Linked DNA regions of Yarrowia lipolytica. The protein of the gene in region 1 purifies or fractionates together with the protein of each later gene. This does not show direct contact. Links are inferred from orthologs where the notes say so. Each region holds a gene or a part of one and is shown in the gene's direction. Other genes may lie near its edges.

Region 1 (4,420 bases):
GGACCCCTTGAATTGTCTTAGGACCGTTTGTTTTCCTTGTGAAAGCAAACATTGACGTTACGTCCGCGCTCCTAGCGCCGTGCAAACTCTCTTGCACATTCTATTTATTGTTCTGCAGTTTATTTATTGATATTGTATCAAATTGGAGTCGTAGCTGTGTTAGTCCAGCACATATTTTTTTTAGCAGTACAAACTTTTAGCAGTACATTTTTTAGCAGTACAAATTTTTCAGCCCAAGCTTTAGTATCCACTCGCTTACGCTTGGTATCGTCGACTTGTGCATCGCCGTGCATATTTGATGCATCTCAGCTGCATGGTGGTGTGAGACATCCGATGCTGTCTGAGGTGTATTGTAACCATGAAATGAAATATATGGAGGCATTGCCAAAGACCGAGCAATGGCAAATTGATAGAACCGGAGATACCTGCCAGGAGAGGGCGTCTAAAATGGACCGATTTATGCCTCTAATGAAGATAATAGCCGCTAGCCCCTTCAAATGAAACTAACGAGGAATGCGCACGTGCGTAAGCAGGTTACAAACGGTTAGACGGATAGATACAGGTACAGTACCGGTATGGGTAGCGGAATTTCTAATGTCGTTGGTCACGTGAAATTGGAGCTACTTGTACCCGGCATAATGATCAATTGGTCTTCGTAGCCGAACTCGTCTGAATAATAAATGGCAGCTATCAAGACGAGGCTAAATATGAGACATCATCGGTGGAGACGTGGGGTGGTAAGATTATTAGCTGGCCGTCTATTGGAGGAAACAGCTGATGCCATCGTGTTTCACTAATCGGTTCAGAGCTCTTCTTTCGTCACTATTAATGTACCAATGGACGTACCAACGTGTGCGTATCTGCATGTAGGAGTTCCTACCAGCATGTATAAGTCGGCCAAAGAGATCAGAGGAGAACCTTGGAGCTTGAGTTGTATGTATATACTGCGCTAGGCACTGGTCATAACCTGTGTATTGCTGCGATCAAAAAGGCATGATGTCGTTCTGTAGATGATGACTGTCAGCGATGACTGTCAGCCTTGGCTCTAAACACGTCGAAGATGTCCGGAAACCGTCAAATCAGCTCGTGACACCTGCCATCAGCACCAACGACGTGTAGATGGATGTCCGTTGCCAATTGGCAATAGATTGTGCTATTGCCGTGCTATGGCTCATAACCTCTAGGTCTCAGAACTGGCGATATCCATGTCCTCTTCCTAACCTGATTATATCAACTAAATATTGTGTGGGAACTGCCTCAGCAAATTTGACATTTTTTGACCTCATGTGTGATCAGAGTCTAATTAAAAAAAAACCATCACAGGCAGTGAAGTTCTGGTCAAGGACATGGTCTGCTATATATACTGCAGAAATTTTTTTTCCTGCAGCGGTGGACTCATAATTACGCCAGGTGGGATTTTTTTCAGCATGCATATGTTAATATTATGTAATACGAGAACACAGGAGTGCACAGGTACTGAAATGAAAAACACGGGAGGTGCCAATATTTCAATCACGTGACTAAAACTATCTGCCCGTTTCGTTTAATCTCTATGTACAATTTCTCGTACTCGTACTCGTGCTCGTACAGTCGGTGAGCTGCTCTCAATACACGTGTTGCTGAGTTGCTAAGGCGTCCAACTAACCCTGACTAAGTGAGGCGTTGTCCGGACAACGGAGAATAGAGGGTCTAATGGGCATAAAACGAGTGAATGTATATCGTCCCTGGAAATATCCATCAGTCAAGCAACCCTTTTGTTTATTTATATATTTCGTCTTCTAAAAGATTCTACGTTATTCTCTACGCCACCGGTAATCGAACACGCGTCCCCCAAAGTAGTGCCTGAGTGCAGATAGAGTGTGTGCGAACCTCGTCTGTGAAAATTAAAGACGTCACCAAATCCTATCTGCACGGGGCTTTTCTGTTTTCCACACTTTTCGAATCACACATACACAACATGTCTGTGCAACTACTGAACCCCAAGGCCGAGTCCCTGCGACGGCAGCAGGCGCTTCAGGTCAACATTGCCGCCGCAGAGGGTCTTCAGAGCGTTCTTTGCAGCAATCTGGGTCCCAAGGGCACCATCAAAATGTGAGTATGGTGGCGATCAGTTGGTGTTAGACAAACATCAAGAAGGAGTTCAAGACGTCCTAAGGGTAATGATGAGCATCTGTCCGTGTTATGTTGTACACGACGATGGTGCTGTTGATTATTGTGTTGCAATTGCACCTGTTTATGTAATTGGAACATGATGGAAGCCAGGATGTTATAACCACGACACAGGATTCATTTTGACGTGGTCACGACTTGATTGAGGACGTACCACGACAGGAGTTATCAAATGAACACAGATATGCCATATCACTGTTTCAAGACACGTCACAGTCTTATCACCAGAGTCATATCACCAAAGTCATATCACCAAAAGCACATCACGAGAGTCATACAATACTAACCCAGGCTTGTTGATGGAGCAGGAGGAATCAAGCTCACCAAGGACGGAAAGGTGCTTCTGTCCGAGATGCAGATCCAGAACCCCACCGCCGTACTGATTGCCCGAGCCGCCACTGCACAGGACGACATTACCGGTGACGGTACGACATCGGTTGTCCTTTACGTTGGAGAGATGCTTCGACAGGCCGAGCGGTTCGTCACTGAGATGCATCCCCGAGTCATTGCTGAGGGCTTTGAGATTGCTCGAAAGGAGGCCCTTTCCTTCCTCGACACCTTCAAGATCAACAAGGCCGGCAGCGTCGACCGAGAGCTGCTTCTGGCGGTCGCTCGATCTTCCCTCGCCACCAAAGTGAACCCCACTCTGGTGGCGCGTCTGGCTCCCGTCGTCACCGATGCCGTTCTGGCAGTTGGAGACGATCTGCACATGGTTGAGATCATGAAGCAGCAGCGACCCGACGACACTCGGCTGATCCGAGGTCTGGTTCTGGATCATGGTCCCCGACACCCCGACATGCCCAAGAGAGTCGAGAACGCGTTTGTGCTCACTCTCAACGTGTCTCTAGAGTACGAGAAGTCCGAGGTCAACGCCGGCTTCTTCTACTCCACTGCTGAGGAGCGAGAGAAGCTGGTACAGTCCGAGCGACAGTTTGTGGACGACAAGGTCAAGAAGATTGTCGAACTCAAGCGGGAAGTGTGTGCCAACGGCGAGGGCTTTGTTATTGTCAACCAGAAGGGTATTGATCCTCTGTCTCTGGACATTCTGGCCAAGAACGGCATTTTTGCCCTGAGACGAGCAAAGCGACGAAACATGGAGCGTCTGCAGCTCGTGTGTGGAGGAGAGGCCCAGAACTCGGTTGAGGATCTGCGTCCCGATATTCTGGGATGGGCCGGTCTGGTCTACGAGGAGACCATTGGCGAGGAGAAGTACACCTACATTGAGGAGGTCAAGGACCCCCGGTCGGTGACCATTCTGATCCGAGCCCCCAACTCTCACAGCATTGCCCAGACCTCCGATGCGGTGCGAGACGGTCTCCGAGCTGTGGCCAACTGCCGAACCGACCAGGCTGTTGTTCCTGGTGCCGGCGCATTCCAGCTCGCTCTGCACCAGCATCTCATCAAGTTCGCGCGAAGCACCAAGGGTAAGGCCAAGTACGGAATCACAGCCTTTGCCGAGGCCATGCTGATTATCCCCAAGACTCTGGCTTCTAACGCCGGTTACGACGCTCTTGACATGATTACCGAGTGCCAGGACGAGATTGCCGAGGGCCATCTTGTGGGTTTGGATCTGACCACCGGCGAGCCCATGGACCCCACGGTTGAGGGTGTCTACGACTCGTTCCGGGTGATCCGAAACAGCATTGCCAGTGCCACTGGTATTGCCACCAACCTGCTGCTGTGCGACGAGCTGCTCAAGGCTGGTCGATCTTCGTTGAAGCAGCAGTAAGGGGAGGTGTAGAGCATAAAATGAGGCCATAAGCGGTATGGGTTGGATACGAATGAATGTAATTGAATATAGACATGACAAGAGGAGGGAAGTTGAAGAAGTAGTCCCTGCCTAACGTGTGCAGTACAAGTACGAGATAGCCACCGTCTATATTATTATTTTCTGCATAATACATTCATTAATTATAAGTTGATTGTAGTGTAGTAATAGTTGAGTAAGGGTTAAGGCTACTTACTGAATTGTTGGTGGGCACAGTTCAGATGTACGAATGATTCTACAATCATTACTCCTCATTCTCGAGGTACAAATAGTTGATAAGTATTGTACAGTCGCTGGAGTACAGTCATTAAGTGTCAGTCATTAAGTGTTGGTTTTGTTCAGGCCTTCTGGACCATCTCCTCGACTTGCTTCTTCTCGTCGTAGGAGGGCGGCTTCTCGATTGAGTCTGTCTCCACGACCAGTCCGTTATCGTCGGTGGACTCGTCGGCCTTGACATGCTCGGACTCCTCCTTGATTCGCTGG
Region 2 (4,864 bases), about 1.8 Mb from region 1:
AGGAAAGATGGAGCAGATTACCCACGTCCACACGTTTCAACGCACCCCAAAGTACATACTCTCGAACTGGTTGCTCGGTCGAGACGGAGTGCCATGTGCACACATACTGAGACCCATAGACAGCATAGAGGCATAGAGAGATGTGGGCGTACAGCCGTAGAAACATCTGTCCATCATTCACCGGTGCTATTCCAGTCTTCTTGGACTTGCCATGTTCAGTACAAGTACATCTTCCACATCAGGACATGTCAATGGAAGATGAAAGAAAACCACATAGATCAGAAGAAGAAGAGTCAATGTAGCCAGAGAGTCAATCAATGCATTCATGAACCCGTTTCTGATCATATGCTCATCTTTCAATTCAAATTCCAACCGTTTATCCAAATATAAATACCACCTCGACCCCCTCAACAGGTAGACATAACCAACACCACCAGCACCACCACCAGCACCACCACCAGCACCACTACTACAATGATCAAACTGACGCTGACTGAGGAGCAGTTCGTCCGTCTATTAAGACCCGACAGGATCCCGATTAATCCACACGCGTGCTGTGTTCAATAAGAGCGATCTTACACACATGTTTCTCAGTGGACTCATAAGTGAATGAATACTATTACTACTGTACTCGTACTAGTACCCATAGCCAGTTGTTGAACCTGTAAGTGTTAATAACAATCAATGGTCGAACACACGGTCAAATAACCAAGACAGGTACAGTACCGGCTCTGCAGATCTGAGGTGTTGCACGCTACCAGCGTAAAAGTACATACTGGTACAATGTTCCACCCACTCACATACGCCAAGGAGACCTTGACAGTACTTTATGACCCTCCTAAACGCTCCCCCGTCTTTTAAGCCCAGTTGCGGCTATATCCTGGTGAAAATACGGCTCCCGGTGATCAGCCATAGTCAAGCACCAGAGAGAGCCTAGTTAGTATTGTAGCGTGAGACCAAACGAGAATCCTGGATGCTGCAATTGTTTCTCCAGTTGCAAAGAACGGTCGGTGTATGTTTGAATAGTACATCTTCTTTTTTATTGCTGTGGACCATGTTGAAACGGGTGATGCACGACGAGTACAAGTACAACTACAAGTATGGCAGGATGTGTACATACAATAGGGGTAGAGCGTAGAGAACAGGACCAACGAAATCACAAGTGTGCTGCAAATCCGGGGAAATTGATACTCAATCTGAATCAGATCAAGATTTAGAATTCATTGATATAATTATTCACACCCCTATTCTCAGTAAAATTGTCCAATATGGAGCCATTACTACGGGCGTCCCTTCACAGGCTCTTTGCTCCACCTACCACAACAAGAACACCACTTTTTCCAATGAACAGAAAAGTTGAGGGCAAATGGAGATCTGGAGAGCATTCATCGTCCGTTATATAATCTGAATCCGTCTTTATTTTCACCCCTCTCATACAATATTTCGACTTGTATGTACAATGTCTTACAGTCGAGTGATCCCCTATATCAAATAATTTCCAGCACTGTACGATATCCACTGTACGATATCCACTGTACGCAGACAGAAACGTGATTCGAAGCAGACTCAAGCCATCATGTTCATCCATCGATTTTACCATTTCCCAGAAATTTTCGCAATTTTCCGCAATTTTCCGCAATTTTCCGCAATTTTCCCAGATTTTACGCTTTTCCAGCATTTTCCCCCATTTTTTTATTCACCTCACCAAAACCCTATCGTTATCGACCCGTGACCTCATTTAAGGTTTAGGTCGTCTGTTGGGCCCCGTTGCCACGGTTACCGCGCCCCAAACAGAAGGTTATCCCTCCACTCTTCACGCCACTCCACTCCATTACGAGTTCATTCGAACATGAATTTTCTGCGCAACATTCTGGGCTCTGGGTCCAAGCAGGAGCTTGCGGTGATCCCGTCAGGCCAGCTGTTTCTCAAACGGTCGCCGCACTCGGTCAAGGGCGTTTCCGAGTGCATCTACAAGGAGGCAGCCGCCATCATCCGAAAGACCGAGGTGGAGTTCCAGAGCCAGCTCATTGTCCAGAGAGTCTACGAGGAGGGCGAGGAGGCATTCGAGGGCACCGAAGAAGAGGACCAGCTTGACGACGAAGAATGGTGCTATCTGATTGACGAGGCCCTTCGAATCAGCTACTTCATGCAGGACGGCCATGTGGTTGTGACATGGAACGATCTCAATGGCGACCCCGGAGACCGGTTCGAATTCATCTGCGACACCAGCATCAAACCCGAGGTGTATGACAAGTTCTCCAAGGTGGCCCAGGAGTGCATGTACGAGCGAAAGTACACTGCAAGTGCAAAGGGAGTCAGCGAAGACGATCTCAACGAGTTTGACTACCCTCCTCCGGTAACAGAGGTCGAGGCCAATGAGTCTACCGCCGTGGACGAGTCCGTGGCTGCTGACTTTAACGAGGTGGACAAACGCGTGGCACACGACACGGAAGGCATCTTCGTTAAGGAGGAAGAGGAGGGGAAGAAGGAGAACAAGGCCCACGCTAGCGTGCCTACAGCTGCTCCCGAGACTGTGGCTGCCGCGGTGGCTGCGCCTGCCTCCGCTCCTGTTGTGCAGGACTTGCCCCAGTTCGACGCTCTCCTGGGAGAGAACAATGCTGAGCTGCATCTGTTTGATGCCGGGACCGGTGCGTTTGAACTGCAGGCAGCCTCCACCACCGTGCGAATTGAGGAGGTGGCCAAGCAGTGGGAGTATTGGCTGACTGTGACGAACGGAACCAAACCCGTACTGGGCATGCCCATCACCTCGGAGATGAACCCCTGCTTCAACTACGAGCATCTGTCGTTCATCTTCAACTACTTTGCACCTACCGGAGCGGGTTTCTCGTGGCTGCTCAAGTTTGGCTCGTTCGAGGAGCTCGAGATCTTCCAGCAGGTGTTCATGCAGGCTCTGTGGCAGAGACTGCATCGTCAAAAGTACACAACCGCTCCCGAGACAGAAAAGGACTACCTTTCCGAAGCCTTTGGAGCTATGGATATTGACGACGAAGGCACCACCGGTCTGGAGGATCTTCCTGAGGAGGACGAGGATGAAGATGAGTTTGAGGACTGCCCCCAGGGCCCCGCACGAGACTTCTCTGATGACGAGGAGTACGACAACGACGAGGTGTTTGGAAAGAACGACGATCTCGACAAGAACAAGCTGCTTGCCGTCGGAACTTCCAACGACCGGTCGTATGTTGTACGAGGAAACCGAATTGGAGTGTTCAAAAATACTGCCGACAACGAGCTCGAGTTTGCCACCACTATTGAGAACATTTCCAAGCCCGACAAGACGTCGTTCAACCCCGACAAGATGATGCTGCATTACCAGGACAAGCACATTGTGCTGCAGGACAAGTCTGAGGGCAACAACCTGTACAAGATGGATCTTGAGTACGGTAAGGTGGTGGACGAGTGGAAGGTGAGTGATGACTCCAAGAACGGCGTTGTCAGCTTTGCTCCCTCGGCCAAGTTTGCGCAGATGACTGGCGAGCAGACCTTCCTGGGAATGGCCAACTCGGGTCTGTTCCGAATCGATCCCCGTCTCAGTGGATCCAAGCTGGTTGATAGTGAGCACAAGAAGTATGCCACCAACAACCAGTTTTCGGCTCTGACTTCCACCGAGGGTGGCCACATTGCTGTGGCCTCGCAGAAGGGAGAAATCCGACTGTTTGACCGACTTGGAATCAATGCCAAGACCGCTCTCCCCGCCCTTGGAGATCCCATTCTGGGCGTCGATGTGTCTGCTGACGGCCGATGGATTCTGGCCACCTGCAAGACTTATATTCTTCTGATCGACGCTACAATCAAGGATGGCAAATACGAGGGCGAGACCGGATTCAAGCGGTCGTTTGCCAAGGACGCCAAACCCCGTCCCAAGCGTCTCCAGATTTCCCCCGAGCATGTGGCCTTCATGCTTGCCGAGACTGGTTCTGGCTTGAACTTCACCAAGGCGCATTTCAACCAGGGCCCCAATTCTCGAGAGCAGACGGTTGTGACGTCTTCTGGCCCATACGTGGTTACTTGGTCGCTTAAGAAGCTGCTGCGAGGAGACGCCAACCCCTACCTCATCAAGCGGTACTCTGACCAGGTTACTGCTGGAGACTTCCGATTCGGCACTGACAAGAACGTCATTGTTGCCACCGAGGACGATGTCAACATGGTGTCCAAGAAGTCGTTCCGTAAGCCCACGCGGGAGTCTCTGGCGACTCCTGGCATGCGACGGGGCACTCTGGGACGAAGTAGCATTGTTAACGAGTTGTACTAGGTGGACATTAGGAGCGAGTTGATGGACCGGAGAGATAGCTGTGCATTTGAAAAACGAAAAAACACAAGCAAAAAGAAAGAAAAAAAATACAACTGGAAAAGTTGGTTTATATAGTTAATAGATACCTAATGATACTACAGCATTTGCAATTCTGAACCAAAAGATGGGAATGCTCGAGTCTTGTTTGTGAATCGGTGTATCCTTGATTCATTCCAGTCGCGTGTGGAATTGTCAGGTTCAATAATAATATAATATATACACGGCTACTTCTTCTTGCCAAACTTGGCCTCGTTCTTGAGCTCCTCCAGGAATATGGACAGGAAGCTCTTTTTGTGGGTTAGTTTTTCAAAGGCCTTTTCGCCTTCTCGGAGGAGGGGATCATGGGAGACTATGTTAGTAATTTGGCGGGGGGCGGGGCAGGTCAGTCATTGACTGGATGAGCCGTAGCAGTGGGCGGGAGACATAACAGCGAGGAGCGAGAGGCTTTAGAGATGACAGCAAGACTAGTCAGTGACTGTAGTTGTGTCTTTCCTTTGACTGACAATCAGTGAGGAGTGTGTTCAAAGGTGTAATAGTGAAAGGTGCAGTGATACT

The links.
Region 2: the proteins of YALI1_D25744g (region 1) and YALI1_D07271g purify together in Saccharomyces cerevisiae (affinity purification with mass spectrometry; 3 studies listed by BioGRID). This does not show direct contact. The link is inferred for Yarrowia lipolytica from reciprocal best matches to the Saccharomyces cerevisiae genes CCT6 and VID27.

The regions. Positions count from the first base shown.
Region 1 is NC_090773.1:2,572,441-2,576,860, forward strand, and holds YALI1_D25744g (uncharacterized protein), read left to right. Parts: upstream 1-1,957; coding exon 1,958-2,091; intron 2,092-2,460; coding exon 2,461-3,898; downstream 3,899-4,420. Other genes in the region: YALI1_D25786g (uncharacterized protein), read right to left, coding at 4,276-4,420. UniProt on the Saccharomyces cerevisiae protein: Molecular chaperone; assists the folding of proteins upon ATP hydrolysis. Known to play a role, in vitro, in the folding of actin and tubulin. In yeast may play a role in mitotic spindle formation.
Region 2 is NC_090773.1:725,290-730,153, forward strand, and holds YALI1_D07271g (uncharacterized protein), read left to right. Parts: upstream 1-1,849; coding exon 1,850-4,270; downstream 4,271-4,864. Other genes in the region: YALI1_D07252g (uncharacterized protein), read right to left, coding at 22-134; YALI1_D07257g (uncharacterized protein), read right to left, coding at 187-483, 529-603; YALI1_D07299g (uncharacterized protein), read right to left, coding at 4,534-4,658. UniProt on the Saccharomyces cerevisiae protein: Has a role in the negative regulation of gluconeogenesis. Required for vacuolar catabolite degradation of fructose-1,6-bisphosphatase (FBPase).